Oryctolagus cuniculus: one gene and its partners. The protein of the gene in region 1 purifies or fractionates together with the protein of each later gene. This does not show direct contact. Links are inferred from orthologs where the notes say so. Each region holds a gene or a part of one and is shown on either strand. Other genes may lie near its edges. The genes, in order: DNMT1, MTA1, EZH2, DAXX, PARP1, SIRT1 and HDAC2.

Region 1 (3,500 bases):
AGGCTCAGTGGTATAGGGGTCACCGTGGCCAGGGCCCCCCACGGTGGCAGGGGCTCAGGGTGGGCCTGTGCTGACCAGAGGTGTGTGGTAGGAACATTCCAGCGCAGGTGGGATGGGCGGGCCTGGGTCACACGGCCTTAGGCTAAGGCACGCTGACTGGCATTTGAGGGCTGGCCTGTGGCGTCCAAGCTGCACCCTTGCCCCTGCTCGTGGGCTGAGGCCCGGGCTCTCCCATGTCCCCAGGTCTGTTTGCTTCCCAGGCTTCCTCTGCTGCTTAGGGCCGGGAGCAGCCCTGCCTCCTTGTCCTGGGGAAGAGACAGAGCTGGGGTTCCCCCAGGTGTACCTGTTGGCAGCACTCCTGGGTCGCCTTCCTGACACATGCCTCACCCAAGCTGGGGTTCCCATGACCACTGGGATGAGCCCTCTGTGTGCGGCTGCACCCTGCACATCTGGGTGGTTGGTTGTGTCTGTCCTGTCCCACAGCCACCACTGGTGTCCAGGTCTACTCACATGTCCACGGCCATCCCAGTGTGGGGCCATGGACCTCTGACCCCTGGCCCACCCTGTGGTGCAGAGCAGATGGCCGGGCCCGCCAGCCTCCCTGCGGCACCCTCGGGACAGCAGGCTCGGAGCAGGAGTGGGGCCAGGGCCGCACCTGGCGCGGGCGCCTCGGTTCTTCGTGAACCAGGGTGTGCTGTGGGTGCGTTCCCGCAGGGCGGGGTGTCCCAGGCCTTGCAGCGTGAGGCTCAGGAGCCAGACCGCTGGGTTGCCTAGGGTCTCTAGGTACCTCTGCACTTGGCCCTGATGGCTGGTGGCAGCACGTAGGGTGTGGCCTGTGGCGACTCAGAGCTTCTCCCACATCTCTCCTCAGAGAGCCTGACACCTCCTCTCCAGGCCTCCCCCAGCGCAGGCTGTCTGTCCGTCTTTCCCACTGGACCCTACCTCCTGAGGGCCAGCCTGCGACCTGTCTGTGCCCCCCAATACGTACAAGGGGAGCTCGGCGGGAGGCATGCATTTTGAGAAACTTGGTGATCTTTGAGGGTGAACACCATGGGCTTGGGGGCTGCGCTGTGAGTCAGGGGTACCCTCTTGAGACCTGCCCAGGCCCTATGTGGGGACTCGGGTAGCCAGGCACCTCTGGACAAGAATGGCCCTTGAGGCTGGCCTGAGCAGAGCCCCCCTGCCCAGGTCCCTGGTCTGCTCGTGTTTCTGTTCTTGATAAAGAATCTGCTCCCACGTGTTGGCGCATCAGAGCAGGGACACTGTGGGGTCCCCTGACTTGGGAGGCCGTGCCCCCAAGAGGAGGCAGAAACCCCTCCTTGCTGTGCCCCCCCCCCCACCTCTGCAAGTTGTCCTGCAGCCTGCTCTAGGGCGGGTGTCAGTAACATTTTCAGGTGCCACTCAGATCTGAAGTGTCCTGACCGCGCAGATTCATAAGTGAGCAGGTGGGCGGGGGCTGAGTGGTGAGGGGCGACTGTGATGGCTTTGGGGCTTATTTCAGGTGATGCCGTCTGGAGCTGGGGAGAGGCGAGGGCCGCGGGACGGAGCGAGCAGCTGTGGAAGCAGCTGCCTTGTCACTGGTCCCTTTGTCCCCTTCAGACGTACATCTTAAGTTTCTCATTGCACTTAGGACAAAGTTCTTCAATCCATTTGTCTACTCCCCAGCTGTTCACAACAGCCAGGGGCTGGGTCGGGCTAGAGCCAGGAGCCCAGAACTTTATCCACGTTTCCCGCGTGGGTGGCCGGGACCCGAGTACTGGGCCCATCGCCTGCGGCTCCCAGGGAGTGCGTTGGGGAAGCTGGAACCCCAGGCTCTCCAGTGTGGGCGTCCCAAGCACTGCCCCGGACGCCCAGCCGTGAGGTTCACGCGTACTCTGGGCGTGCAGGAGGGAGGCCAGGTAGAGACGGAGTGAGTGGCGGACCCAGAGCTAACCTGGTACCCCGCAGCCTGAAAGGTAGCGGGGTCTTGGACTCGCCCCTGCTCCCCCCCCTGCCCTGCGCCCGCCCACCCCGCTGGCTGCTGAGCGCGCTCTCCGTCCCCTGTAGCGTGTACTGTAAGCACGGCCACCTGTGCCCCATCGACACCGGCCTCATCGAGAAGAACGTGGAGCTCTGCTTCTCGGGTTCAGCGAAGCCGATCTACGAGGACAACCCGTCGCAGGAAGGTGCGGGGGTGTTCCGGGGCGGCTTGGGGCAGATACTTTGACAAGAAGCGACACGAGAAAAGCTGTGCCCTTTAGAAGGCGGGCCGGAGACTGCCATGAGCAGCTGTTTGTACAATCACTTGGAAGAAATGTCAAGGGAGCTGGGCGTACTGCCTCCTGGGTTTGGTTTTGTCCTCTAGTGTGTCTAAGAGGCAGAGACAGATCTCCCAACCGCTAGCACGTTCCCCAGTACCCTCAGCGACCAGGGAGCTGAAGCAGAGTTGAACTCGATGGCAGTCTGCGACATGGGTGGCAGTGGCCCAGTGGCCTGAGCCATCACCTGCCCTGCAGGGTCTGCACTGGCAGGAAGCTGGAGTCAGGAGCCAGAGCTGGGAAGGGGCCAGACACCCTGATGCGTGCGTGGTCACCCTAAGCAGTGTCTCGGCCACTAGGCCCAGCGCCCAAGCGCCCGCTCCCTTGTGGCACCTGATTCATGGCCTTTTGGGAAACTTCCCTGCTCTTGCTTCTAGGCGGTGTCAATGGCAAGAACCTTGGCCCCATCAACGAGTGGTGGATCACGGGCTTCGATGGCGGGGAGAAGGCCCTCATCGGCTTCAGCACCTGTAAGTGTGTGGCCGCCGTGGGCGGGGCTGGGCTCAGTGCTCTCTGCAACCGTGAGCGTCAGTGGACAGAAACACTCGCCACGGTGATGGGAGCCTCGCCCACGTGGAGCAAACCGGCGCCTCCGCCTCCCCGCAGCGTTCGCCGAGTACATCCTCATGGACCCCAGCCCCGACTACGCGCCCATCTTCGGGCTGATGCAGGAGAAGATCTACATCAGCAAGATCGTGGTCGAGTTCCTGCAGAGCAATCCCGACTCCACCTACGAGGACCTCATCAACAAGATCGAGGTGGGGCGCTCGGGCCCCGGACGCGCAGCCTCGCCGCCGCGGCACAGCCTGGCCTAAGCAGTCGGGAAACTCCCGCTGTCTGTCCTTCCTTCCAGACCACCGTTCCCCCTTCCTCGCTGAACCTGAACCGCTTCACGGAGGATTCTCTGCTCCGCCACGCCCAGTTTGTGGTGGGACAGGTGGAGAGCTACGACGACGCCAAGGACAGCGACGAGCAGCCCATCTTCCTGACCCCCTGCATGCGAGACCTGATCAAGCTGGCCGGGGTCACCCTGGGGCAAAGGTGAGACCCGGCAGGACGGTGCCGGAGCCCAGCGGCCTGCGCCGCCTCCTGGTCTGCTGAGACAGGGGCCCCCTGTCCCCACAGGCGGGCGGAGCGGCGGCAGACCATCAGGCATTCCGCCAAGGAGAAGGACAAGGGGCCCACGAAGGCCACCACCACAAA
Region 2 (4,126 bases), on another chromosome or scaffold:
GCTCCCCCCACCCAGGCAGCTCTTCGGCCAGCCGTGAAGGAAGCACCCCGGGTCCCACCCAGCAACTCAACTCCAGGCCCGCTGGCCGCCTCTCCAGGACTCCCACCCCAACGGCCCTGACTACACCAGCCCCGGGGCCCCAGCCTCCCTCCAAGCGTCAGCTCCCCATCGCGCCCCCCAGGCCGGACCTCGTCTCCCTCCCACCGCAGCCCGGGCCGTGCGACCCTCAGGCCTTCCCCGAGCGCGGGGCACGCAGTCACGTTGCGCCGGGCGTTGCGGGAAGCCCCGGTGCGGCGCCCGCTTGGCCCCGCAGAGCGCAGGGAGCGGCCTGCACCCCGGGCGAGACCCGGCCGCCGAGTCCGGGGCTGCCCGCGGGGGCTGCCCGCTGAGCGTCGGGGACACAGAAGGCTCAGCACTGGCGCCAAAGGCTGGGCCCCGCGGGGCGGCCGCCTCCAGGCCAGACCTGAACCCCCGAGCTTCGGGGCAGGCCGGCAGTCGTCCCCGGGGGTGCTGGGGGTGTAGACCCCGCCGGGGCAGGCGCGGCGGGAGGCTCCGGCCGGGGCGCGGGGGCGAGCTCCGCCGGGCAGGCGCGCGGCCGCGGCGGCGCGGGGTCGGGTAACGGCCCGCGCGGTGGGCGGCGGCGCCCGAGGCCCCTCCCCGTGCGGCCGCTCCTCCCCTTCCTCTCCCGCCCGCGCCGCGGCCCTCCCGTCCCTGCGCGGCCTCGGCGGCCTCGGCGGCGGCGGCGGCGGCGGCGGCGGCAGCGGCAGCAGCGCGGCCCCTTTAAACCGCCCGCCCCGGCCCGCGCCGCCCCCGCCCCAGCCTCCATTTTCCGGCCGCCCGCGCCGCGCGCCGCGCCCGCCCGCGGCCCCGCCGCCGCCGCCGGCCCGGACATGGCCGCCAACATGTACAGGGTCGGAGGTAAGGCCCGGCGCCGCCTTTATGCGCCGCGGCGCGGCCCCGCCGCCCCCCGGGCCCGGCCCGCGCCCCCGCCCCGGCCCCGCGGCGCGCCGCCCCTCCCCCACCCGCCCCCGCGGCGCGGCCTCGGCCGCCCCCGCCCCGCCGCACCCCTCCGCGCGGCCCCCGCCCCGGCCGCCCCGACCCAAAATGGCCCCGGGCCGGCCCGGCCGGGCCGGTGGGCGGGGGTGGGCGAGCTGCCCGGGCGGCGGGGGCTGGCCCACCTGTTGGGCCGGGGGCGGCTGCGGGGTGCGGGCCGGGAGCCGTGCGCGGCCCTCGCCGGCGCGGGGGCCTCCTCCGGGGCCCGGCCTGGCGGGAGCCCCCGAGCGGAGCACGTGGCCGGGCTGGCGCGCGCCGCCGCGGGAGTTCGGGGGCGTTGGGCTGTGGGGGCGCCGGGGCGCCAGCGCCGCGGAGCCGGGTTTCTCCGGGGCTTGGGGGCGGCCTCCCCGCGAGCCGCTCCTGCAGCTGGGCCTGGGGCCGTCCCGTGGGGGCCGCGCTGGGGATGGGGGCTCGTCAGCGGGGACCCTCATCCCCAGTAGCCTCCAAGTCACCCCAAACTTTTCGCTGCCTCCTGCTCACCCCAGCCCAGCGAGGCAGCGCCGGGTGAGGCCTGGGCGGGGGGCGGCCGGTTCTCCTTGGGCCCGGGCCTCGCCCCAGTTTGCGTGTGCGTGTGCGGGCGCGGGCGGCTGCGTGGGGTCCCGCGTTGTGCCTCAGGTAGGCCCTTCCCAGCCCGGGGTGGCGCCCCCCCGTCGTGAGCCGCCCTTCCCACCGCGGAGTGACCCCGCAGGGCAGGCATAGCTGTGGAAGTACCCCCCGATCCTGTCTGCACCCCCCCTTCTCCACCGAGGCCTGAGCCGGACATGGAGTCTGGGTTGAGCGTGGTCCAGCCAGGCCAGCCCTGCAGCCTGGGCCCGGTGTGCCCGGGGCCCTCTGGTGTTCGGGGTGGGCAGTGACCAGCTCACACCTTTGCCCGCGGGGCCCTGGGTGGACACAGGCAGTCCACACTCCCTGCCAAGATGCTGGGGGACAGGGGCCCTTCGTCCACCTCCCTGGCCCACGCTGCTGCCCCAGGGAGCTCCTGGCTGGTGACTCCCAGCCCCAGTGGAGGGACGAGTGAGGGAGCAGAATGGCACCTCCCAGCTTTGGTGGCCATGCCATGCGGGGGGTGGGGGGGTGGGCTCTGGAGGGAAGGACCCCTGCCCAGGCCCCCAGCCCAGCAGGCGGGACACCTCCTGCCTGGGATGTGCCTGGGGAGCTTCTCCCTCTGCCCCCCCAGTCCAGGCTGGACCCTGTCGTGGTGGCCCCTGCACAGCGTGCCTCAGTTTCCCTGTGCCCTGCAGCAGCTCCCCAGGGCCCACCTGGGTGCCTTGAGGGCGGGGTGGCTTGGATCTGGAGCCCACGGTGCCGGGTGGAGCCAGCTTCTACTTCCTGTCTGTGGCTGGGGTTGCAGAGCCTGAGGCAGAATTGGGGTCGTGGCCCCAGGAACCCCAGAGGTGGGCCCCATGCCATCTACACGGAGCCGCACATGCCGTGTGCCCATGGTGGACGGCTGTTGGCATCTCGGCTCAGCATTGCCTGAGCCCCCAGGTGGGGGACAGGAAGGCGCTGCCCCTCTGACAGCGGGCCTCTCGTCCTGCCGTGGCCTGGGGGAGTGGCCAGTGAGGGACCGGCCCTGGGCGGGGCCTGTTCCTGTGGTCTTGTCCTGGCCCAGCCTCCTGGGAAAGGCCAGGCCCATGGGCCTTTCAGAGCGCAGAACTGGGGTCTCAGTGCGTGGGACATACGTGCGCTAGAAAGTTCTAGCTGACATCACATTGCCCGGAGTCCTGTGTCTTAGCTGGGGGGCTGCAGGTGCCACGGCCAGGTTTTGTGCCAGCTGCCTAGGCAGAGAGGCCTGGCCTTGGACAGGGGCCCTGGCCGGGGTCAGGGTTCCTGGACCTCTGGGCAGTCTTCTGCCAGTGTGATTGGCGTGTGTCCCGGCCGCTGTACCCACCGCTCCTGCAGTTTGGGGTTCTGTTCTCTGTTCCCCCACCCTGGGCAGCTTTCGCTCGGTCCTGATGTCCTGTGCTTGCAGAAGGGGACAGGGCCCGGAGCTGCAGGGGCGTGAGGCCGCGTTGGGCCCTGCTTTTGCACCCTGCCTCCTGCTGGTGCGTGGACTTCTTTTGTTGTAGCCCTGGTGTTTATTTTTCCATGGACGCTCTTTGGTCAAGTAAGGCGTTCCCCAGGATGGAGACCCCGCCTGGGACAGAGACCGTCCCCTGTGTGGCTGTGGTCGCCCCGCCCCCTGCACAGGGGCGGCCTCTGGAAGCTGCTGGCCCTCCTCCCTGGCAGCGAGACGCGGAGTCTGCCGTCCACAGTGGGGACCTGGGACGTGGGCCGAGGGGCACGGGCGGACCTGGGGGTCTGTCCGGGGGGACAGCTGCCAGCCTCCGTCTGGGCGCCCCTACCCCCAGCAGCAGGGGGCCTCTGTGCCTGCTTTGGGGCTGTCTTATTGTTTTAAGAGAAACATTTGGCCGCTGAGCTCTTGGGTTAATAACAAAAGCAATTGGAGCGAATGGTCTAGGAAGCAGTCTCTGGCCGTGGCCGTGGCCGCTGGACGTCATACTCCGAGCCCAGCAGGTGAGGAAGGACTGTTCTGGGGACCCTGGCACCCAGTGTGCCTTCTCTGGAGGGTGTTCCTCCTCGTGTCCCGCTGCCCCTCGCCTTGTCTTCCTAGTGGCAATAAGGCAGAGCTGGACAGGGGCGTGGGGGTCACAGCCCATCCCCCAGGCCCGAAGGCCCAGCTCTGCACCTCCTGGTGCCAGGCTGTGCCACAGCTGCTGCGGGGATGAGCTGGCCGGGGAAGGACATGGTGCTGCCCCCCCTGAAAGCTGCTTAGCAGCCTGTGAGTGCGGGTCGCGGCCCCTGACCCACTCTGCTTTCTGTCCCTGACTGGGCTCTGCAGAGGGCCTGCATCTGGCTGACCCCTGGCCGGGGCCACATGCTCTCTTGCAGAGATGAGATTCCTGGAGCCGGCGTTGTGCTGAGGGTCTCGGTTCTGCTGCCGTCCGCCCTGTGTTGACCACAGCACAGCGTGGGTGAACGAGGGGCTGTGGACAGCCAGGGAGCACGGCCCGCAGGCGTCCCCCCAAGAGGGGAATGTGGCTCAGGTGTCCTGAGCTCTTGCTGGGGCTGG
Region 3 (3,500 bases), on another chromosome or scaffold:
TTTTTTTTTTTTTTTTGGTATCGTTTTAATTTTATTGGAAGATTCTCGAGAAAACCACTGTGGATGAACTGCAGCTCCCATTGGTCCATTTCTTGCTCTGATCTCACAAGGCGCCATTATGTGAGGTGAACCCCCAAAAAGTATATATAGCCGCTGCGGGGGCCTAGATTTTTGTCCGCCTTACCCAGAGAGCACTCTTTTGTGATCTGTCATATGCACCATCTTAATCCTAATAAAGACTCCATAAGGTGGATATTATTAGATCCATAAGATCACACTACTGGGGAGAAATGGAGCCTTGAACTCCATGATGATAACCAAAATATATGTGACTTTAGACTTATGCCTTTCTTCCCGAGTCAGCTGCGACTCTCCAAAAAGTAGTCTGTCCCAAGACAGTCTGTGGTTGGTATTTTCTGCTTGGCATGGATCATATTAAAGCAGCATAGAATTCTTTGGGGAAAAATTGCAAAGATGCATAGATTTTTTTTTTTATAATAAAGGGATACCTTAGTGATGATCTAGTTTAAACTCTTTGTTTTACAGGTGAGGAGACAGACCGAAGTAGTTAAGTAAGCAGTCAGGCCCAGTGACAAAATTAGTTAGTAGCATGATTGGCATTAAAACCTAGGGGCCGGTGCTGTGGCTCAGCAGGTTAATGCCCTGGCCTGAAGTGCTGGCATCCCATATGGGTGCCGGTTCTAGTCCCAGCTGCTCCTTTTCCAATCCAGCTCTCTCTTATGGCCTGGAAAAGCAGTGGAAGATGGCCTAAGTCCTTGGGCCCCTTTACCCACATGGGAGACCCAGAGGAGGCTCCTGGTTCCTGGCTTTGGATCAGCGCAGCTCTGGCCATTGCGGCCAGTGGGGGAATGAACCAGGGAATGGAAGACCTCTCCTCTCTCTGTAACTCTGACTTTCAAATGAATAAATAAATCTTTAAAAACCCTTTTTTTTTTTTTTAAGATTTATTTATTTTGCTTGAAAATCAAAGTTACACAGAGAAAGAGAAGAGGCAGAGAGAGAGAGAGAGAGAGAGATCTTCCATCCGCTGGTTCGCTCCCCAGATGGCCGTAACGGCTGGAGCTGTGCCGATCCGGAGCCAGGAGCTTCTTCCGGGTCTCCCACGTGGGTGCAGGGGCCCAAGGACTAGGGCTGTCTTCTGCTTTCCCAGGCCATAGCAGAGAGCTGGATCGGAAGTGGAGCAGCTGGGACTGTTACCATGCCCATATGGGATGCTGGCACTGCAGGTGGCGACTTTACCTGCTATGCCATAGCACTGGCCCCTTCCAGAACTCTGAAAACTTTTTGTATTTGAATTTTGTGTTTGACATATGCGCATTCCATAAATACACATAAAATATGTTAGTGAAACAAAAAGTTCATGATTTCTTAGAAAATCAGCTATGTTATAGAGATACAGTTATGTATAGAAAATGAAAGATTGAAAACTTGTTGACTTCATGTTTTCCCCCTTTCATATTTCCCTAATCAGATAAAGAAATCCACCCACCTCGGAAATTTCCTTCTGATAAAATTTTTGAAGCCATTTCCTCAATGTTTCCAGATAAGGGCACAGCAGAAGAACTAAAGGAAAAGTAAGATTTGCTTTTCTGAGATAGTCTCACTTTGTGTGCTGTGGAAATTCTCCTTTTCGTTTATTTACAAATGCAACAAATATAGCACTTGCTTGTTTATAGTGTGGGCAAGATGTTTGAAGCAATATATTTATCTGTGGTATTCTACACTATAAAACATTATAGTTGAATAAATACCTTTATATATACACTATATATACATGTAAAATTTATAGCAGTCTATTTAGAGGAAAATTTCTCTGGATACTAGCAGAAAGTTCAGTAACATTGATGATTAATTAAAACTAATATCCTTTTTCATGATATACCTGAATCATTTCATTGAATTTGATTCTTGATATCTAATTGCTTCTTTGTCTATAAAGATTGATTTATGTTAGATATATTCCTTTTTGTTTTAGGCAAGATAAACATTAAAATAATACATGGAAACCTTTTAGAAACTTTATTTTGAAAAAGTGATTTTTCTTTTATATTTACTTAAATTTTTCTTGGTTACTGTCAGATACAAAGAACTCACCGAGCAGCAGCTCCCAGGTGCACTTCCTCCTGAATGTACTCCCAATATAGATGGACCAAATGCTAAATCTGTTCAGAGGGAGCAAAGCTTACATTCATTTCATACGCTTTTCTGTAGGCGATGTTTTAAATATGACTGCTTCCTACATCGTAAGTGCAATTATTGTACGTTTTCATTTTCCATCTCTTGTTGTGGAATTATGTTTTAAAGCAACTCAAATAATGTTATTTAATACAACTAGAATTTTCTACTGAATCTTACAGTTAAGATTAAAAAATGTTATGAACTCAGTATTGTTATTTTTATGTTGTTGCTTGAGGATTGTTTTATACACATTTAATTCAGACTTCTGTTTTAAAGAAATTGGCTAAAAAAATGCTATATTAGTTCTTGTCTACTTAGTGTTGAATTTTTTTTTTTTTTTTTGGTCCTCTGGGTAAGTTGCTTTTCTTTTTTTTTTAAAAAAGATTTATTTATTTCAAAGTCAGAGTTACACAGAGGAGAGGAGAGAGGAGAGGCAGAGAGAGAGGTCTTCCATCCAATGGTTTACTCCCCAACTGGCCGCAATGGCCGGAGCTGCACCGATCTGGAGCCAGGAGCCTCCTCCAGGTCTCCCATGTGGGTGCAGGGGCCCAAGGACTTGGGCCATCTTGTACTGCTTTCCCAGGTCATAGCAGAAAGCTGGATCAGAAGTGGAGTGGCCAGGTCTTAAAACCGGTCCCATATGGGATGCCAACCCTTCAGGCCAGGGCGTTAACCTGCTGTACCACAGCGCCGGCCCAGTAAGTTGCTTTTTAAATACCCGTGTTTTGTATACTAGCAAAGCATAAAATATTCTTAATGAATTATGGTACATCCAATAATACTTTTTTTCCCTGATATTTTTAGGAAATGAAGTTTCTTAGTAATTTTCCAGTTAACTGGACCTTATTTTTAAGTACATTTTTAAAAGCATCAACTACTTTTGAGGTATATATTTTGAGAATATATTTCATACTTCCTAATTTTCAGAGTTTACATAATATAGTTCAACTTTTTCCATATTATGTTTTAGGGTGCCTGTTTATGGCATAGTAATACTTCTAGAAGCTTTTGACCCTGCCCTAAATGGCCTTACATTGCTTTGCCTTTTGGGTTTTGTGTCCCTGCTTTTTCTTTTTTCTTTTTTTTTAAAGAAGATTTATTTATTTGAAAGGCAGAGTTACAGAGAGGCAGATTCAGAGAGAGAGAGAGAGAGAGAGAGAGATGTCTTCCATCCACTGGTTTACTTACCAAATGGCTCCAACGGCCAGAGCTGGGCTCATCTGAAGCCAGGAGTCAGGAGCTTCTTCCGGGTCTCCCACGTGGATGCAGGGGCCCAAGGACTGGGACCACCTTATACTGCT
Region 4 (4,188 bases), on another chromosome or scaffold:
CGGCGCCGTGGCTCACTTGGTTAATCCTCCACCTGCGGCGCCGGCATCCCATATGGGCGCCGGGTTCTAGTCCCGGTTGCTCCTCTTCCAGTACAGCTCTCTGCTGTGGCCCGGGAAGGCAGTGGAGGATGGCCCAAGTGCCTGGGCCCTGCACCCGCATGGGAGACCAGGAGGAAGCACCTGGCTCCTGGCTTCGGATCGGCACAGCGCCAGCCGTAGTGGCCATTTGGGGGGTGAACCAACGTAAGGAAGACCTTTCTCTCTGTCTCTAACTCTACCTGTCAAATAAAAAACATTTTTTTAAATAAAAAAGTCTTTCTTGCGATTTTGACTCTTTGTTAAAAATATTTATCGTTACAATTATGAAAAACGAATTTATCAAGCAGCACAAAGATTGTGCAAATTTTTGCATTACGAATTTTTAATAAGCTAGAAGATTGTGTTCATGGTGCATCGCTGAAATAGACCACGTGTCTTTTGACTTCAGCCAGGTAAGAGACCCAGGCAACTTCACGGCTGTGAATTATTATAAGATGGAGAAAGTCCATTGTGAAGGGGAAGGAAGAGGGAGAACCTCTACCGCAGGCGCTCGCTCTGGGAGCCCAATTTTGGGAAAGCTGAGGATCTGAAACTTAAATCCTCTTTGTCAAGACCCAGTGGTCTTGGCGAGTTTTGTTGCTCAATTTGAAGGCTGTAGGCCTGGACGACTGGCGAGAAGTGACAGGGATTCTCAAAGGAAGCGTCAGGGATGCAAGGCCGCGGGCCTGAGGCAGGAGGCCACCACCCGCGCGTGGGCTTCGCGCTGTCCCCGCAAGCGCGCCTCGGGACGCGGCCCGGCCTCCCCCACGCGAGGCGTCTCCTCCGGCTCCTTCCTCACTCTGTCCTCGGCTCTCCCTGAGGAGCAGGAGACCACCGCGTCTCCCCGCACGCGCGGGGGCCATCGCCCAGCTGCTCCCCCCAGCCCCCGGACCCCACGACAGAGCCTCGAGGGGCCGATGCCGCCGCAGCGTCCAGGCCCCACTCGGAGAACAGCGCAGCGCCGCTCGGGTCCCGCCGGCTTGGACGCTGATTAGTTCTGAGGCGGAGCTCGGAAAGCCAGTCAACAACAACGTAGCGATAGTAATACCACCACCACCACCTTCAGGGAGCGCGGTGCTCGTTTGTACGCATGCGTCGACATTTCCCGGCCGGGGACGTAGCACCTGGAAGTGGAAGCGGCGGCCGGGCAGCGGCGAGGGGCGCAAAGCCCATTAAGCGGTGGAAACCGGTACCTGGGAGATAGGAAAGCAGGACCGGAAGCCTCACTAATTGCCCAGCGGAAGGAAAAGGTTTTATTTCCCCGTTTAGACACGCCTGCCCTTTCCTGAAGCCATGCACAGCCTTGGCGACCCCAGTTCTTCAGCCAGCCTATTCCACTGCCCCCCTCCCACCCCTGGGAAAGGTGGCTCAGTGGTCTCGGCACGCGACTAGCTGGCGGTTGGGCTCGAGGCAGGAAGTTTCTGATTGGCGGAGTCCCAGAAGCACCAGGTGAAAATAGCTCCGCCGGCTGAGGGCCCAAGTCACTGCAGAGCTGGGGCCGTACAACAAAATGGCGGCCCCCAGCAACTTCGGGACGCCCTGAAGGGGCAGGCCCCGCCCCCTACAGGTCAGGGGGAAGGGAGTCGCGGGCTAGGTGGGCGGTACTAGGCACGCTCGGTGGGGCCTTCCGGAAGCAGGAAGGCTGGGCTCCGTACGACAATATGGCCGCGCTTATACGCGTGTAGGCGGAAACTCCGCGGCTTCCGGTCTGTAGTGGGGCCTGCGGTGGGAGGGGGAAGGAAGGCGGAGGGAACCATGCGAGGTTCTGAGATCAGCGGCGAGGGTCGTCTCGTGAGACCGTTTCTGAGGTGCGGGCCGGACTGTGTGGGGAGCGAAAACGGGGGAGGGGATATCGAGGAGGCGGTACTGGGGAGACGCGGGCTCTGAGTCTGAGAGGCATGCTCTGGTACCTTATTCCTGAAGGGAAGTGGGGCGGCTAGGGGTCTGACCTGGGGGAGGGGGACTTGGCGGGAAGCTCATCTACCCTGCCGGCGCGACTCAAGGGTGGGATCCGAGAAGAATCGGGAGAGCCCACTGTAGGTCTCACGATCGGTTACAAGTCACAGAGAGCGACCAGGTAAAATCAGGGTGGGGTGAGAGGGAGGGCTCTTGAGGTGTCATACTCCAACCCAGTGCCCTGGTTTGAAGAAGCCCATCAGAGGGTGAAATACGGAGTTAATAGCAGGAGGGGAAAGGAGAATGGATCGTTGAGAGGACTGTTGGATTGTCTAGGAGTTGGGGTGATCATTAAGGGTGGGGTATGGGTTTGACATGTTTCGGGGTGAAAGGGGCCAGACGTGAGGCAGCCAGAGCGAGTGTGTTTTCCGTGTGTGAGGGTGTCATGGGAATCTGGGAAGCGGGACTGGGGTTGGAAGAACCAACTTGACAACTATGAGAAATAGTGGGGAGATGGAACAGAAAGACCGGAAGCCAATGTGAGAGGTAGAGCTGGGTGTGGCGATTGAATGTTTGCGGTTCCCTGTCCTGGGCCACTTGAAGGGCCCGGGAAGGCATCCAGAGCTAATGGTTGCAGAAGACAGGCAGTGAGGACACTGTTGGGCAGGGCTGGGTGTTGCTGAAACCCACGGAGATTGGAAACTGAGCTGAAGGGAGGGGCTATGCTGGAGGGGCTCTTTCTGAGGCCCCATCCCCTTCCAGCAGGAATTCTGAAACCCCCAACACTTCCTCCCTCCGGGGGATTTGATCCCTCATGGCCACCGCTAACAGCATCATTGTGCTGGATGATGATGACGAAGATGAAGCAGTCGCTCAGCCAGGGCCCTCCCACCCACCCCCCACTCCGGCCTCACCCCAGGCAGAAGCCCCTGGCTCCTCTGAGCCCCATGGGGCCGGAGGAAGCAGTAGTTCTGGCGGCAAGAAATGCTACAAGTTGGAGAATGAGAAGCTGTTTGAAGAGGTGAGCTTTAGGGGAGAAGATTCTTATACCCCAGGGAGGGGGATGGCGCACTGGCTCTCTGGTCCTCTCTCCCCCACTAACTGCACCCCCCCTTCTCTCTCTCAACCCCCTCCCTTGTCTCTTGTCCGCTCTCTTCTTCCCCCGAACCCTCCAGTTCCTTGAACTGTGTAAGACGCAGACAGCGGACCACCCTGAGGTGGTCCCGTTCCTCTCCAGTCGGCAGCAGCGTGCCCACTCTGTGTTTTTGGCCTCAGCCGAGTTCTGCAACATCCTCTCTCGGGTCCTGTCCCGGGCCCGGAGCCGGCCCGCCAAGCTCTACGTCTACATCAACGAGCTCTGCACCGTTCTCAAGGCCCACTCAGCCAAGAAGAAGCTGAACTTCGCTCCTGCTGCCACCGCCTCCAGTGAGCCCTCTGGGAGTAATACTTCTGCAGACCCGGCCTCGGAGCCCGGCAATGCTGAGGCCGCTGTCTCCGAGGCCCCAAGGACCCGTGGCTCCCGCCGGCAGATCCAGCGCCTAGAGCAGCTGCTGGCACTGTACGTGGCGGAGATCCGGAGGCTGCAGGAGAAGGAGCTGGATCTGTCAGAACTGGATGACCCAGACTCCACGTACCTGCAGGAGTCGCGCTTGAAGCGGAAGCTGATCCGCCTCTTTGGGCGACTGTGCGAGCTGAAAGACTGCTCTTCGCTGACCGGCCGGGTCATAGAGCAGCGCATCCCCTACCGCGGCACCCGCTACCCAGAGGTCAACAGGCGCATCGAGCGGCTCATCAACAAGCCAGGCCCCGACACCTTCCCCGACTACGGTGATGTGCTGCGGGCCGTAGAGAAGGCAGCTGTCCGGCACAGCCTCGGCCTCCCGCGCCAGCAGCTCCAGCTCATGGCCCAGGACGCCTTCCGAGATGTGGGCGTCAGGCTACAGGAGCGACGCCATCTCGACCTCATCTACAACTTCGGCTGCCACCTCACGGATGACTACAGGCCAGGTAGCGGGTTAGCGGGGTGCCCGTCGGAGGCAGAGGGGACCGCTCGCCCTCTCTGCCAGGGTGTGGGCTGAGTGCTCTGCTGTCATATCTTCCCATGTAGGCATTGACCCTGCACTGTCAGATCCTGCCTTGGCCCGGCGCCTTCGGGAAAACCGGACCTTGGCCTTGAGCCGCCTAGACGAGGTCATCTCCAAATACGCAATGATG
Region 5 (3,500 bases), on another chromosome or scaffold:
GTCAAATTGGTAGAGGGGCAGACATTTGGTAAAGCAGTTAAGACACCACCTGGGCTACCCACATGCCATATTGGAGTGCCTGGGTTCTAGCCCTGGCTCTGCTCCCAGTTCCAGCTTCCTGCTAATGTGCACCCTGGGAGGCAGCAGGTTAGGCTCACATACTTGGGTTCCTTCCAGCCATGTGAGAGACCCAGATGGAGTCTTATTTTGGTGTGACCCAGTCCCAGCTGGTGGTAGCATTTGGGAAATAAACCAGCTAATGGAGGCTCTCTGTAGATATCCTTTGTGTGTGTCTGTCTATCTGTCTCTGCCTTTCAAATAAGAAAAGATTGACAGAGAACAGGCACACCCTACCTCCTTTGGCCTCTGGCTATTGGTGGTCGACACATGTGGGCCATTTAGCACTTACAGGCCCCTGTGTGTCTTGTGGGCTTGGTTTCTGAGGGATGCATTCCAGGGGCTTTGGTGACTTTGTTACGTCCTTCCCCACACTTGTTAATGGTTTCTTCCCCACCTTGCACAACTCTTTGAGAGCCCATGCTTCATATTCAATTTGAGACCTGCTGGAGCATGGCAAGGACTTAAAATCTACTGCTCAGACCGTCTTTTCGGGAGAGTCAGTTCAGCTAATCCTCTGGTGTGTGCTTGAGGCCAGGCATGTCCAGGGGTATACTCTTCCTTCAGTTGAAAAGAGAGGCCTCTCACTCAGCTGCTGGGTCTTGTCCCTAGGCCCAGAACGACCTGATCTGGAACATCAAGGATGAACTAAAGAAAGTATGTTCGACCAATGACCTGAAAGAGCTGCTCATCTTCAACAAGCAGCAAGTGCCTTCCGGGGAGTCGGCGGTGAGCGGCCTTAGTGTTAGAGCGGGACACGCCTGTGAGGCCGACTGTCCTAATGGAATATGCGAGGCCCTCCGTTTGAACACCTACTGGTATTAGCTGCGAGGAGTAAAACCTCGGTGGTCATGTTGTACAGTCATCACTGCCATTGTGGTCACCATTTCCCCAGGGGCAGTTGGGACAGGCCCTACCAGACATTTCTCATGTTGACACTTGCTGTGGAATTCTGCTGGGGGCTAGAGTGGGCCATGTTTGCCTTGAATGGTCATACCACATACTTTGGCCTGAGTAGCACTCTCAGCTGCCTTCTGCCCAAACTCCCTGGGGCTGCAAGGCTTGTGGAGGGAAAGAGACCCTTCTGCAAGGTGGTATGCCAGGGTCCCAGCATTTCCCCAGCTGCTTCTTCCCTGCCCTCCTCCTCTGGAGTTGAGGTTGCCTTGGTACCTTGTGCAGGACCAGGGCATGCTCTGGGCTCTCCCTGTATTTCCCAATCTGAGGGATGGGGAAGGTGAAGGAACACTTCACTTAGAGATGGGTCTCTGAAAACCCAAGAACCCAAGCCCCCTAGCAAACCAGCTGCCCAGGGGGCAAGTTCAAGAGCCCCAGGCAAGCCTCTGTTGCAGTGAAGGAGGTCTGTGCAAGTTCTCCATGCCACATTGCACAGCGTCTTCTCTGGAGTGCCTCCTTTCCCCTCTGACCATTTCATTGCTGGCTTCAGATCTTGGACCGGGTAGCTGATGGCATGGTGTTCGGTGCCCTCCTTCCCTGCGAGGAGTGCTCGGGCCAGCTGGTCTTCAAGAGCGATGCTTACTACTGTACCGGGGACGTCACTGCCTGGACCAAGTGTATGGTCAAGACACAGACACCCAACCGGAAGGAATGGGTGACCCCAAAGGTAAGGGGTCTGTTGCAGGGAGGGATGGTTCTGGGATCTGTTGGTGGGGCTTGTCACCAAGACTGCAGTGGCAGACTTTGTCACAACTGGGCCATTCTCATGATCAGAACATAAAATTTTATGGGTTCCATATGTTTGCAGACTGTACAAATATGGAAACAAAGCGTCTCTGAAGTGTGGAGTCAAGGTTTGTCCAATTGCTTGTGAGGACCATGAATTACTTGATTTATTGGGGCCCATTGTGCGCTGTTACTGTGAGGGACATATGGTGAACAGATAGTAGTAATTCCTGCTTTTATGACAAGCATTTCCTTGCCTTAGTGCCGGAGGGAGAGTTAGGTCCAGAGTTCATGTATCACTAGGTACTGAGTGCCCTCTATACGAGGGACCACAAGTGGAATTTAGTGGGCGCAGACCCCTCAGTTGGAGAGTTGGTGGCTGGATAAGCTCCTGCCCTGTGCCCTCAGGCCGGCAGGAGCTGGGGCAAGGTCCCGGTTCTCCCTTTGCTCGCTGCACCTGCTGTGTTCCCATGCGGGGAGGACATTTGAGCCAGTCCCCTCGGCACTTGGGTGTCCATGCTAGAGCAGGTCTGAGCTTGTCACCTCCCTTCCTTCAGCATCTTACAGACCCATTGTGTGGTGTTTACTATCTCTCAAGGAGCAAATCAGATGACAGTTAGCAGCGTGGACTGTTTATAGTCCATGTGCCCACAGTAGCGCATCTGAGAGTGTGTGCGGGTGCATGACACCTCTGCAGTCTGGTGGCACTTGCTGCCTGTGTGGATTCACGGGCCCAGACCCAGGCGGTGATTGTTGCCCCCAGCTTGTGTCCCTGTGGTGACAGAACCAGGATCTCTCCATGATCTGACTCTGGGCCTTCTGCAGCCTCTCCTGCCGCCGCCTTTTCCTCCCTTATCGCTCTCCCCGCCGTACTCCTTGGCTCTTTACACTCCCAGCCATGGACAGCTCCCTAGGGTTCCCCGTAGGCCATCTAGGTTCCTGTAGTAAGCAGACACTTGCCTGCTTTTCCAGCTCCTAATAGACTCAGCAGGTCACTGGCCTGTGAGTGCCCTCCCAGCATTCCCACTTTCCTGTCACCTTAGCTCACCTCCAGTTTAGAACTTGGCTCCAAGTTTAGAACTTGGCTTACCATCGTATATCTGACGTGGTCGAGACTGAGCCTCCTCAAGGGCAGAAACCGTCTTCTGAACCTGCCTGTGATGTGTGGCAGTATTAGGTGGTCAGTGTATGTTGGAGGCTCTTTGTTAGCCTTTAATCCAACTGGCATTCATTGACTGTGGCATCGTCGGAAAGGCCTGTGTATTGATTGGATGAAGTCTTAGCATAGGAACTGTGGTCTTTCCCAGAGCTTTGTGCATTTGACTTTTATTGAGTGACCATCTAGAATAAGTCCCTTTGTAAATCTCCTGGGACAGAGAGTGAACTGTGCCATTTGCTGTTGAGGGATTTTGTTGTAAGTTCAGTAAAAAAAGGAAAAGAGTTACTCTGACTTAGAGGTAATGATGTGTGTGGTCCTGGGGCCCTTCTGGTCGTAGATTGGGCACCTGAGGCCCCAGGAAGGCCTGTTCATTCTTGAGAATGATTCAAGGATGGGGTGGGGGCAGCAGTTAAGTCACTGCTTGAGACCCTTCATCCCATGTCAGTGCCTGGGTTTGAGTTTCCTGCCTGCCTGTGCACACTCTAGGAAACAGTAGGTAAGGCCTCAAGTGGCTGGGTCCATACATCTGGTGGAAGCCCAACAC
Region 6 (3,997 bases), on another chromosome or scaffold:
AAATGAGTTTCCAGCCTTCTTGGTTCTTTTTGAAGCTAAAGCAACAGAGCTTGAGTTGCTTGCCTAAGGTCATGCAGGTATCGGTGCAATATATCCAGGACCCATAGTCAGTTTAAGGAATGGTGTGCTATGAACGCTGAGAAGTTCTTTAAGTGACTAGAAATGCTGCAGGCAGATGCCACGCAAAGCATAGGTCCTTAGTTATGGCTGTAAAGTAACAATTTTCCAGGGCAAGTGGAAAGTGGTGGAGTTTCCAGTGGGGAAGCAACTCTGGTTTTTGAACTACTATGTACCTTTTAAATATAGCTAGCTTATTTAATTTTCATAACCCTGCAAAATAGGTATTATGAGAAAAAATTGGATTTAGAAAAGGCTAACTTGCTCGGTATACAAGAATCCCAAATTTAAAGCAAACCCAGAGATGGGGAGTGGCCGAGCCTTGTTCTCGACTGCCCGACTTGACCCAATGCAATCACTACACCTGAGAACACCGGGGCCCACAGGTAGGAACGCACACACATTTGAGTACAAGTTACGGACCGAAAGCTGATAGGCTGACTCCCAAGTTCCCAGGTCAAAGGACCTAGGACGGGGACACACGCCTGTGAGGATCTGACAATCTCGCCCCACAAGTGAGGGCGACAGGGCACAAGAGCCAATCACTGAAGGGGAGGGCCAAGCAAAGGAGCTGAAGAAGGGCTGTCAGAATGGCGCGGGGGCGGCAGAGCGCCTTGTTCTTTCCTCCCCACTGACAAAAGCCCAACGGCTACCCAGCGTTATTTCAAGGAGCGAAGCTTCAGTCCTCATCGCCTCTCAGGAGCCCAACTTTAACCCTTAGCTAAAAATGCAGACAGGGCTAGGCAGGGAAGGTGTGCGCTGGAGGCAGAAGTGGAAACTCCGTGAACCAAAACGTGTGCCTTCCGGACGGTCCTGAGTTCAGGACGCTTCCAAACAGAAGTTCAAAAGCGGCCGCCGAGCGAGCGTGCAAGACACGCCCGCCACTGAGGGGAGGGGCCTCAGGCCGCCCGAGCCGCGTTTCCTCCCCGCCCGAGCAGAGAGGGAGACGCCCGGGCCTCCGCCCGCCACGTGACCGGCCGTGTTGTGGTTCGGCCCGCGTGGGTGGCGGGAGCGGCGGGAGGGCGGGGGCGGGGGCGGAGGCAGGTCACGTGACGGGGTTTAAATCTCCCGCAGCCGGAGCCGCGGGGGCGCCAGTGCCGCGCGTCGAGCGGGAGCAGAGGAGGCGAGGAAGGAGGGCCAGAGAGGCAGTTGGAAGATGGCGGACGAGGCGGCGCTCGCCCTTCAGCCTGGCGGCTCCCCGTCGGCTGCGGCGGCCGAGAGGGAGGCCGCTTCGCCGCCTGCTGGAGAGCCGCTCCGCAAGAGGCCGCGGAGAGACGGCCCTGGCCTCGGGTGGAGCCCGGGCGAGTCCGGCGGGCCGGCCCCCGAGCGTGAGGTGCCGGCGGCGGCGGCGGCGGCGGCCGGGAGCTGCCCGGCTGTGGCGGCGGCGCTGTGGCGGGAGGCGGAGGCGGCGACGGCGACGGGCGGGGAGCGAGAGGCCCAGGCTATGGTAGCGGCCGGAGGAGACAATGGGCCTGGCCTGCAGGGCCTACCCCGGGAGCCGCCGCCGGCCGACGATTTCTGCGAAGACGAAGACGACGACGACGAGGGCGAAGAGGAGGAAGAGGCGGCGGCGGGGATTGGGTACAGAGGTGCGCAGGGCGCGGGCGGCCGGGACTGCGCATCCCCCTCCTCCTCCTCTCGGGGCCCCTCCTAGTGTCCGGTTGGGGGGGGGGTCTCTAGGGCGGGCCGGGGGTTCCGGGCTGGCTCGCGGGATCCTCTCCCCATGGCGGCCCTCCGTTCAGCCGCGCTGCTCCCGGGCTGCCGGCCGTGCGGTGGGGAGCTGCGCGCGGACTTGCTCCTTGTCTTCCCTCGGTCCGCGGCCCCTCTCGGCGGCCTTGCGGCGTTCGACGCAGCCGCCGGGTGTGGACGCTGTCTCCCTTGGCTTTACAAATAAGTTTTCTCTCTTCTAGTATTGCTTTCGTTGAACTTACTTTGCTCTCCTCCTCCTTCACCAGCACACTTAAAGTCTGCAACTTTCGGCCGTCCCGTTGGTCGACCTTTCGCAGTTGCCCGTGCAAACTGACACCTGTGCCATTTATTTATTTATTTGACGATCTGTACTTTTAAACTTGTAGTTATAAATTTGGAAAGAGCAAAGCGGCTTTCTGAGGTCTTAACCTGAAAACTTTAAAAGCATAGTTTCTAAAGCAGTCTTTTGTGATGCGTTTAGTGGGGATCGCATAATGAAGTACTTTCAGAGTGCTTTATATTAATATTGTGGTTGAGTCGTGTTCTGAAGTGGTTTTAAGCTAAATGGGATTCTTCTGTATATATGTGATCCTGAAGCAGGTTGACATGTTTTTGACATACTGAAGTACATGTCTTGTCCTTGAGGGTTTCATAGTTTGACTTGAGAAGTTTCTGTGTCTGTCAGTACTGTGTCGGAACTAGCCAGTGGAGCATTTAGTAGCCACATGGAAAAAAAAAAATGTGTAGTGTATACATCAGGGACTGCACAGGTGAAGCAGCTCCTGATTTCAAGAAACAAAATTCCTTCCTCCTTCAGGTAAATTTGGCAAATATTAAATTTCTTTGTGATTCAGTCTGCTGAACTAAGGAACCATCATAGTATTTAGAAGCACAATAAATGGGAGAAACAGATAATGCAGAAATAGCTAAGTATGTTTAGTAGTATATAAAAGCCCAGAGTGCAGGCAGCCTTGGTTTTCACAACGTTGGTGGGTAAATTTTGACAACTTGCATGTACTCCTTTGCTTGTATGATTGCTAAGCTCAGTCTATAGAGACTACCTCTTATTCTGTTTTGACTTTTTAAAAAGTAGACTCAGATTTTTGATAGACTGAAGCTTTGAATTCTGCAAAGGATCTCTTGAGGATCAGAGAACTGCTCTTGTGAATGTTGACCACCTTTACACATGCGGGATGTATGTTAAATGCTTTAGTCATTAAAAATGGTTGCTTTGTGACCACTGATGAGTCTTCTTGCATTTCAGATGCAGGCTGTCAGCAGCCTTAATGTTGATTTCTTTTGCAGATAATCTCTTGTTCGGTGATGAAATTATCACTAATGGCTTTCACTCATGTGAAAGCGATGACGACGACAGAGCCTCACATGCAAGCTCTAGTGACTGGACTCCAAGGCCACGGATAGGTATGGTTCAGAGCTGTGCCCCTCCCCCCATTTTCCCTCTGTCCCTTTAATAGATTGAAGTTTTTAGGTACATGGAGAGATTTAATAACAACTTATATTTCTAAGAAAAATCTAGTGCTCTTAAGTACAAAAATTGTACGTATTTATGGGGTACCATTTGATGTTTTGACACATTATAGATTGTGTAACATCTAAATTAGAGTAAACATCCCTGTCTCATACATCATCTTGTTATTGTGAAATCATTCAAAATCTTTTTTGCTATTTTTTTTAAAGAAAAATAAAGGGGTAAGCATAGAGGTTAATATGCTAGTTGGGTCTCCTGGATCCTATATCTGAGTGCCTACTTTGAAGTCCTGCTTTGCTACTGATTCCAGCTTCTTGGTAATGGACAGTGTTGGAGTTGGTGGATAGTGGTTCCAGTGGCTGGGTTCCTACTACCCCTGTAAAAGACTTGGATTGAGTTCTTGACTCCTGGCTTCTGCGTGGCCCAGCCCAGCTATTGTGGCTGTTTGGGGACTGAAACGGCAGAGGGGAGCTGTCACTCACATCCGCTTTCTTGCTCTCTTGTGCTCTCACTCCACCTTTTTAAATAAAGAACATAATTTTTTAAAAATTAAATAAAACACACAATGCATTTTCTTTTTTTTTTTTTTTTTAAGACTTATTTACTTACTTGAAAGTCGGAGTTACACAGAGACGGAGAGAGGTCTTCCATCCGCTGGTTTACTCCCCAGATAGCTGCAACAACTGGAGCTGTGCCGATCCG
Region 7 (3,500 bases), on another chromosome or scaffold:
ATGGGATGCTGGTGCTTCAGTCCAGGGCGTTAACCCTCTGCGCCACAGTGCCGGCCCCTGCTTTTTCCATTTTTAATCTTATGCATATTTGTCTTTGTGGTGCTTCATAGTCTAATTTGCATGTACAATTTCAGTTTAAATAACTATACATGTAAGATATAAAATTTCCAAAAACTATCCACTTATGTATATTCAGGAATAAATTGGGAAAACATGCCATTTGCTCAAATTAGAATGTGTAAAATAGTAAGCACTTGCTGTTTGATTTTATAGTCTTTGATTACACTTAATATGATTATAGATTTATATCATAATGGTACAGAGATTGTATTTCACATTAATGGTACTATTTTTTATTTTGTCTCCTTTTCCTCAGAACCCTGAAGTAAAAGGCCACCTTTTAGGTATAAAGATGTTATTCCCACTTGCTCTAAGAGAAGCATACTTTTTTCCTCCAAACTTTTACCTTTTAGAAAATCAAAAGATCCCCAAATGTCTCTTTAACTGTTTTATAAACCACAGCTAAGTTTTCGGTATTAGAGCAAACCATTCATTTTGTTCCAATCTTAAAATTATTAAGCATCTGTTATCCTATACTTTGAAATGTGGTAACTGATGAGTACATTTGCATGAGTGTGCTGTAATGATTTTAAAGCTTGTGACTTTTCCTCAAAGCTTGTTAAAATCTTACGTTAACAGTTCGAGCATCAGACAAGCGGATAGCTTGTGATGAAGAATTCTCAGATTCTGAAGATGAAGGAGAAGGAGGTCGTAGGAATGTATCTGATCATAAAAAAGGAGCAAAGAAAGCAAGAATTGAAGAAGACAAGAAAGAAACAGAGGACAAAAAAGCAGGTCAGATTTAATTTTTTGGTGAATGTGTTCTGATTTAAAAATTTTTTTAATTGAGAACTACATTGAAATATAAAAATTTCCTGAAGTCATCTACTGTAAGTATTACAGAGAGGTGAGTATGCTAGGTAAATGCTATTTTTTCCTCCATATAAAGTTTGGCTTTTAAATATCTTTGATTGAAATCTTTGCAAGTTCCTACTTACATTTGATTTTATAATATAGGAAACCTTATTCTCTTGATGATAAAGGCTTAAATAGTTAGAGTTAAGAGAGAGGGTAAGTTATAAATCTGTAGTCTACGAGAGAGCTGAAATTCTAAGATAATTTTTAACTACCTAAAGTTTATGTAGATGAAATCAACCTTTACTTAATACTAGTTTTATCATTTTTAATAAGGCCAGATAATAGACTTTGTTCAGAAATTGAGGAAAACACAAAGCTCTCAGAAAAGATTAAAAATATACTGCTTTCTATTACCTTTCTATCTTTGAAGATTGTCAGCTCTAGGCAATTGAATTTGCCACCAGAATCTGTGATCGTTTGTCTGTATTTATATGTCTCCATGCCAGCTGGCTAGGGAATACAGCATCTTAAATACCTGTTTTCAGCACTTGGTATGTTTCTTTATGCAAGTAACAGTGATGAGCAAAAATCTTAGTTGACCTGTTTTGATATGAAAGCAGAGATAGTAGTAGTCCAGTAAACTGGCTCTTTCTCTTCTCTAGTGTTAGGAATCCATATCAAAGCTGATACTTCTAATTCTGTTCTTTGGTCATCAGGCTTCGTGATTCTTAAAATTTCTCAGCCTATAGAAAAAAGAAAACTTTTAGGAAAAAACTATGGGTCGAGGCCATAGAGCCATTTCTTTTTCATGTTTCCCTCTCCCATCCTGTTTTGGCACTTTGAGTTCACATAGCCAAAATTAAACAACAAATGCCATAAAATCCATATTGTCAACATGGGTGTTCATATTATAGGACTAGACTCTTGCAATGTGTAGAATACTTAAGAATATTTAAAAACTTTAAAAAAAATTGCTTTTGCAGTCTTCAGATTGTAGTGTTAACTTCTGTTGAAAAGTTTTAAACTTTTCAGTATTTATTTAGTGAGGGTTAGAAAATAAAGGTATGAGGCAGACACTGTCGCAGTGGGTTAAGCTGCTGCTGGGGATGCCTGCATCCTGTGTCTGAGTGCCAGATTTGACTTCTGACTGCTGTTGCTTATTCTAGCTTCCTGCCGAGTTGCATAGGATGACAGCAGATGACTGTCAGGTGATGATCCCTGCCACCCACATGAGAGAGTTCCTGATACCTGTCTATGGCCTGGCCCATCCCTAGCTGTTGTGGGAATTTGGGGAGCAAACTAGCAACAGGTGGAAGATATCTCTGCCTCTCTCTATGCCTTTCAAATACATAAATAAGTAAATCTTAAAAAAAGAAGAAAACAAAACTAAAGGTGGCAGCAGCCTCTGGTTGTGTCATCTACTCTCCATTTCTCATAGTGCTCTAGCCGCAGTAGGGTTTCTCCTTCCATCCTGCCAATTTCTTCTTAGCTCAGAGTCCTTAAAACTTTGGAGTTTTTTTCTTCGTCTATTCAAGATGTTTCTCTTCCCTTTTTATCTACCAAAACTACATTCATCAGGACAGCTTCAGATGTCACATCTGTGGTAGCCGTTCCTCACCTGCCACAGTGCTGCATTTTCCTTTGAAGTCCCTATCCTCGCTGTGATAAGGCTCAAAAAGGGCAGTGACTGTTAGGTTAAAGCTTAAACATCTACCATTTAGTATAATACCTGAAATAAAACTTATATACTGAATTATATTTCAAAATAGATTTTGATCTTTTCCTAATCTTTGTTTCTAGATGTTAAGGAAGAAGATAAATCCAAGGATAGCAGTGGTGAAAAAACAGATACCAAAGGGTAAATGATATTCCTTATCAATTAATTGTTATATATTAAAAAATATATTTCCTTGGGGTGTGTTTCTTTATTGGTATCTGTACTGAGAAGTACTTAACTAAATCTGAGAACATTGTCTGAGATATTCTAAATTTCAGTCTGTCTTAATGCATGAGACTTGTGCCATCTTACTCATTGGTTTTTGTCATTGGTTTACTACTCATCTGTTAAGTAGCTTGCTTTTAAAAACTACATAGAATTACTGCATATTGTAATTAGATAATAAATCAGTTTGAAACTCTTTCTTTAAATGTGCGCTCATGGTTTTCATGGTGTTTTGTTTTGTTTTGTTTTGTTTTGTTTTTGACAGGCAGAGTGGACAGTGAGAAAGAGAGACAGAGAGAAAGGTCTTCCTTTGCCGTTGGTTCACCCTCCAATGGCCACTGTGGCCAGCGCGCTGCAGCCAGCGTGCTGTGGCCGGCTCACCGCACTGATCTGAAGCCAGGAGCCAGGTGCTTCTCCTGGTTTCCCATGGGGTGCAGGGCCCAAGCACTTGGGCCATCCTCCACTGCACTCCCTGGCCACAGCAGAGAGCTGGCCTAGAAGAGGGGCAACTGGGACAGAATCTGGTGCCCTGACTGCCCAGGACTAGAACCCTGTGTGCCGGCGCCTCAAGGCGGAGGATTAGCCTAGTGAGCCGCGGCGCCGGCCTCATGGTGCGCTTATTTCTGTATTTTAGTGTTAT

What was found.
Region 2: the proteins of DNMT1 (region 1) and MTA1 purify together in Homo sapiens (affinity purification with western blotting; 4 studies listed by BioGRID and IntAct, with this or other methods). This does not show direct contact. The link is inferred for Oryctolagus cuniculus from reciprocal best matches to the Homo sapiens genes DNMT1 and MTA1.
Region 3: the proteins of DNMT1 (region 1) and EZH2 purify together in Homo sapiens (affinity purification with western blotting; 6 studies listed by BioGRID and IntAct, with this or other methods). This does not show direct contact. The link is inferred for Oryctolagus cuniculus from reciprocal best matches to the Homo sapiens genes DNMT1 and EZH2.
Region 4: the proteins of DNMT1 (region 1) and DAXX purify together in Homo sapiens (affinity purification with western blotting; 4 studies listed by BioGRID, with this or other methods). This does not show direct contact. The link is inferred for Oryctolagus cuniculus from reciprocal best matches to the Homo sapiens genes DNMT1 and DAXX.
Region 5: the proteins of DNMT1 (region 1) and PARP1 purify together in Homo sapiens (affinity purification with western blotting; 4 studies listed by BioGRID and IntAct, with this or other methods). This does not show direct contact. The link is inferred for Oryctolagus cuniculus from reciprocal best matches to the Homo sapiens genes DNMT1 and PARP1.
Region 6: the proteins of DNMT1 (region 1) and SIRT1 purify together in Homo sapiens (affinity purification with western blotting; 3 studies listed by BioGRID and IntAct, with this or other methods). This does not show direct contact. The link is inferred for Oryctolagus cuniculus from reciprocal best matches to the Homo sapiens genes DNMT1 and SIRT1.
Region 7: the proteins of DNMT1 (region 1) and HDAC2 purify together in Homo sapiens (affinity purification with western blotting; 3 studies listed by BioGRID). This does not show direct contact. The link is inferred for Oryctolagus cuniculus from reciprocal best matches to the Homo sapiens genes DNMT1 and HDAC2.

What each region holds. Positions count from the first base shown.
Region 1 is NC_091447.1:67,170,686-67,174,185, forward strand, and holds part of DNMT1 (DNA (cytosine-5)-methyltransferase 1), read left to right. Parts: intron 1-2,046; coding exon 2,047-2,165; intron 2,166-2,674; coding exon 2,675-2,767; intron 2,768-2,903; coding exon 2,904-3,055; intron 3,056-3,150; coding exon 3,151-3,338; intron 3,339-3,422; coding exon 3,423-3,500. UniProt on the Homo sapiens protein: Methylates CpG residues. Preferentially methylates hemimethylated DNA. Associates with DNA replication sites in S phase maintaining the methylation pattern in the newly synthesized strand, that is essential for epigenetic inheritance.
Region 2 is NC_091451.1:47,274,681-47,278,806, forward strand, and holds the start of MTA1 (metastasis-associated protein MTA1), read left to right. Parts: upstream 1-1,326; 5' UTR 1,327-1,456; coding exon 1,457-1,557; intron 1,558-3,514; coding exon 3,515-3,570; intron 3,571-4,126. UniProt on the Homo sapiens protein: Transcriptional coregulator which can act as both a transcriptional corepressor and coactivator. Acts as a component of the histone deacetylase NuRD complex which participates in the remodeling of chromatin.
Region 3 is NC_091434.1:174,746,348-174,749,847, forward strand, and holds part of EZH2 (histone-lysine N-methyltransferase EZH2), read left to right. Parts: intron 1-1,492; coding exon 1,493-1,595; intron 1,596-2,100; coding exon 2,101-2,279; intron 2,280-3,500. UniProt on the Homo sapiens protein: Polycomb group (PcG) protein. Catalytic subunit of the PRC2/EED-EZH2 complex, which methylates 'Lys-9' (H3K9me) and 'Lys-27' (H3K27me) of histone H3, leading to transcriptional repression of the affected target gene.
Region 4 is NC_091436.1:135,802,970-135,807,157, forward strand, and holds the start of DAXX (death domain-associated protein 6), read left to right. Parts: upstream 1-1,388; 5' UTR 1,389-1,527; exon of another isoform or gene 1,528-1,645; intron 1,646-1,752; exon of another isoform or gene 1,753-1,886; intron 1,887-2,018; exon of another isoform or gene 2,019-2,155; intron 2,156-2,736; 5' UTR 2,737-2,788; coding exon 2,789-2,995; intron 2,996-3,149; coding exon 3,150-3,981; intron 3,982-4,081; coding exon 4,082-4,188. UniProt on the Homo sapiens protein: Transcription corepressor known to repress transcriptional potential of several sumoylated transcription factors. Down-regulates basal and activated transcription.
Region 5 is NC_091444.1:39,042,332-39,045,831, forward strand, and holds part of PARP1 (poly [ADP-ribose] polymerase 1), read left to right. Parts: intron 1-729; coding exon 730-846; intron 847-1,561; coding exon 1,562-1,738; intron 1,739-3,500. UniProt on the Homo sapiens protein: Poly-ADP-ribosyltransferase that mediates poly-ADP-ribosylation of proteins and plays a key role in DNA repair.
Region 6 is NC_091446.1:59,833,015-59,837,011, forward strand, and holds the start of SIRT1 (NAD-dependent protein deacetylase sirtuin-1), read left to right. Parts: upstream 1-1,197; 5' UTR 1,198-1,273; coding exon 1,274-1,706; intron 1,707-2,621; exon of another isoform or gene 2,622-2,689; intron 2,690-3,111; coding exon 3,112-3,228; intron 3,229-3,997. UniProt on the Homo sapiens protein: NAD-dependent protein deacetylase that links transcriptional regulation directly to intracellular energetics and participates in the coordination of several separated cellular functions such as cell cycle, response to DNA damage, metabolism, apoptosis and autophagy.
Region 7 is NC_091436.1:57,442,399-57,445,898, forward strand, and holds part of HDAC2 (histone deacetylase 2), read left to right. Parts: intron 1-699; coding exon 700-855; intron 856-2,718; coding exon 2,719-2,776; intron 2,777-3,500. UniProt on the Homo sapiens protein: Histone deacetylase that catalyzes the deacetylation of lysine residues on the N-terminal part of the core histones (H2A, H2B, H3 and H4).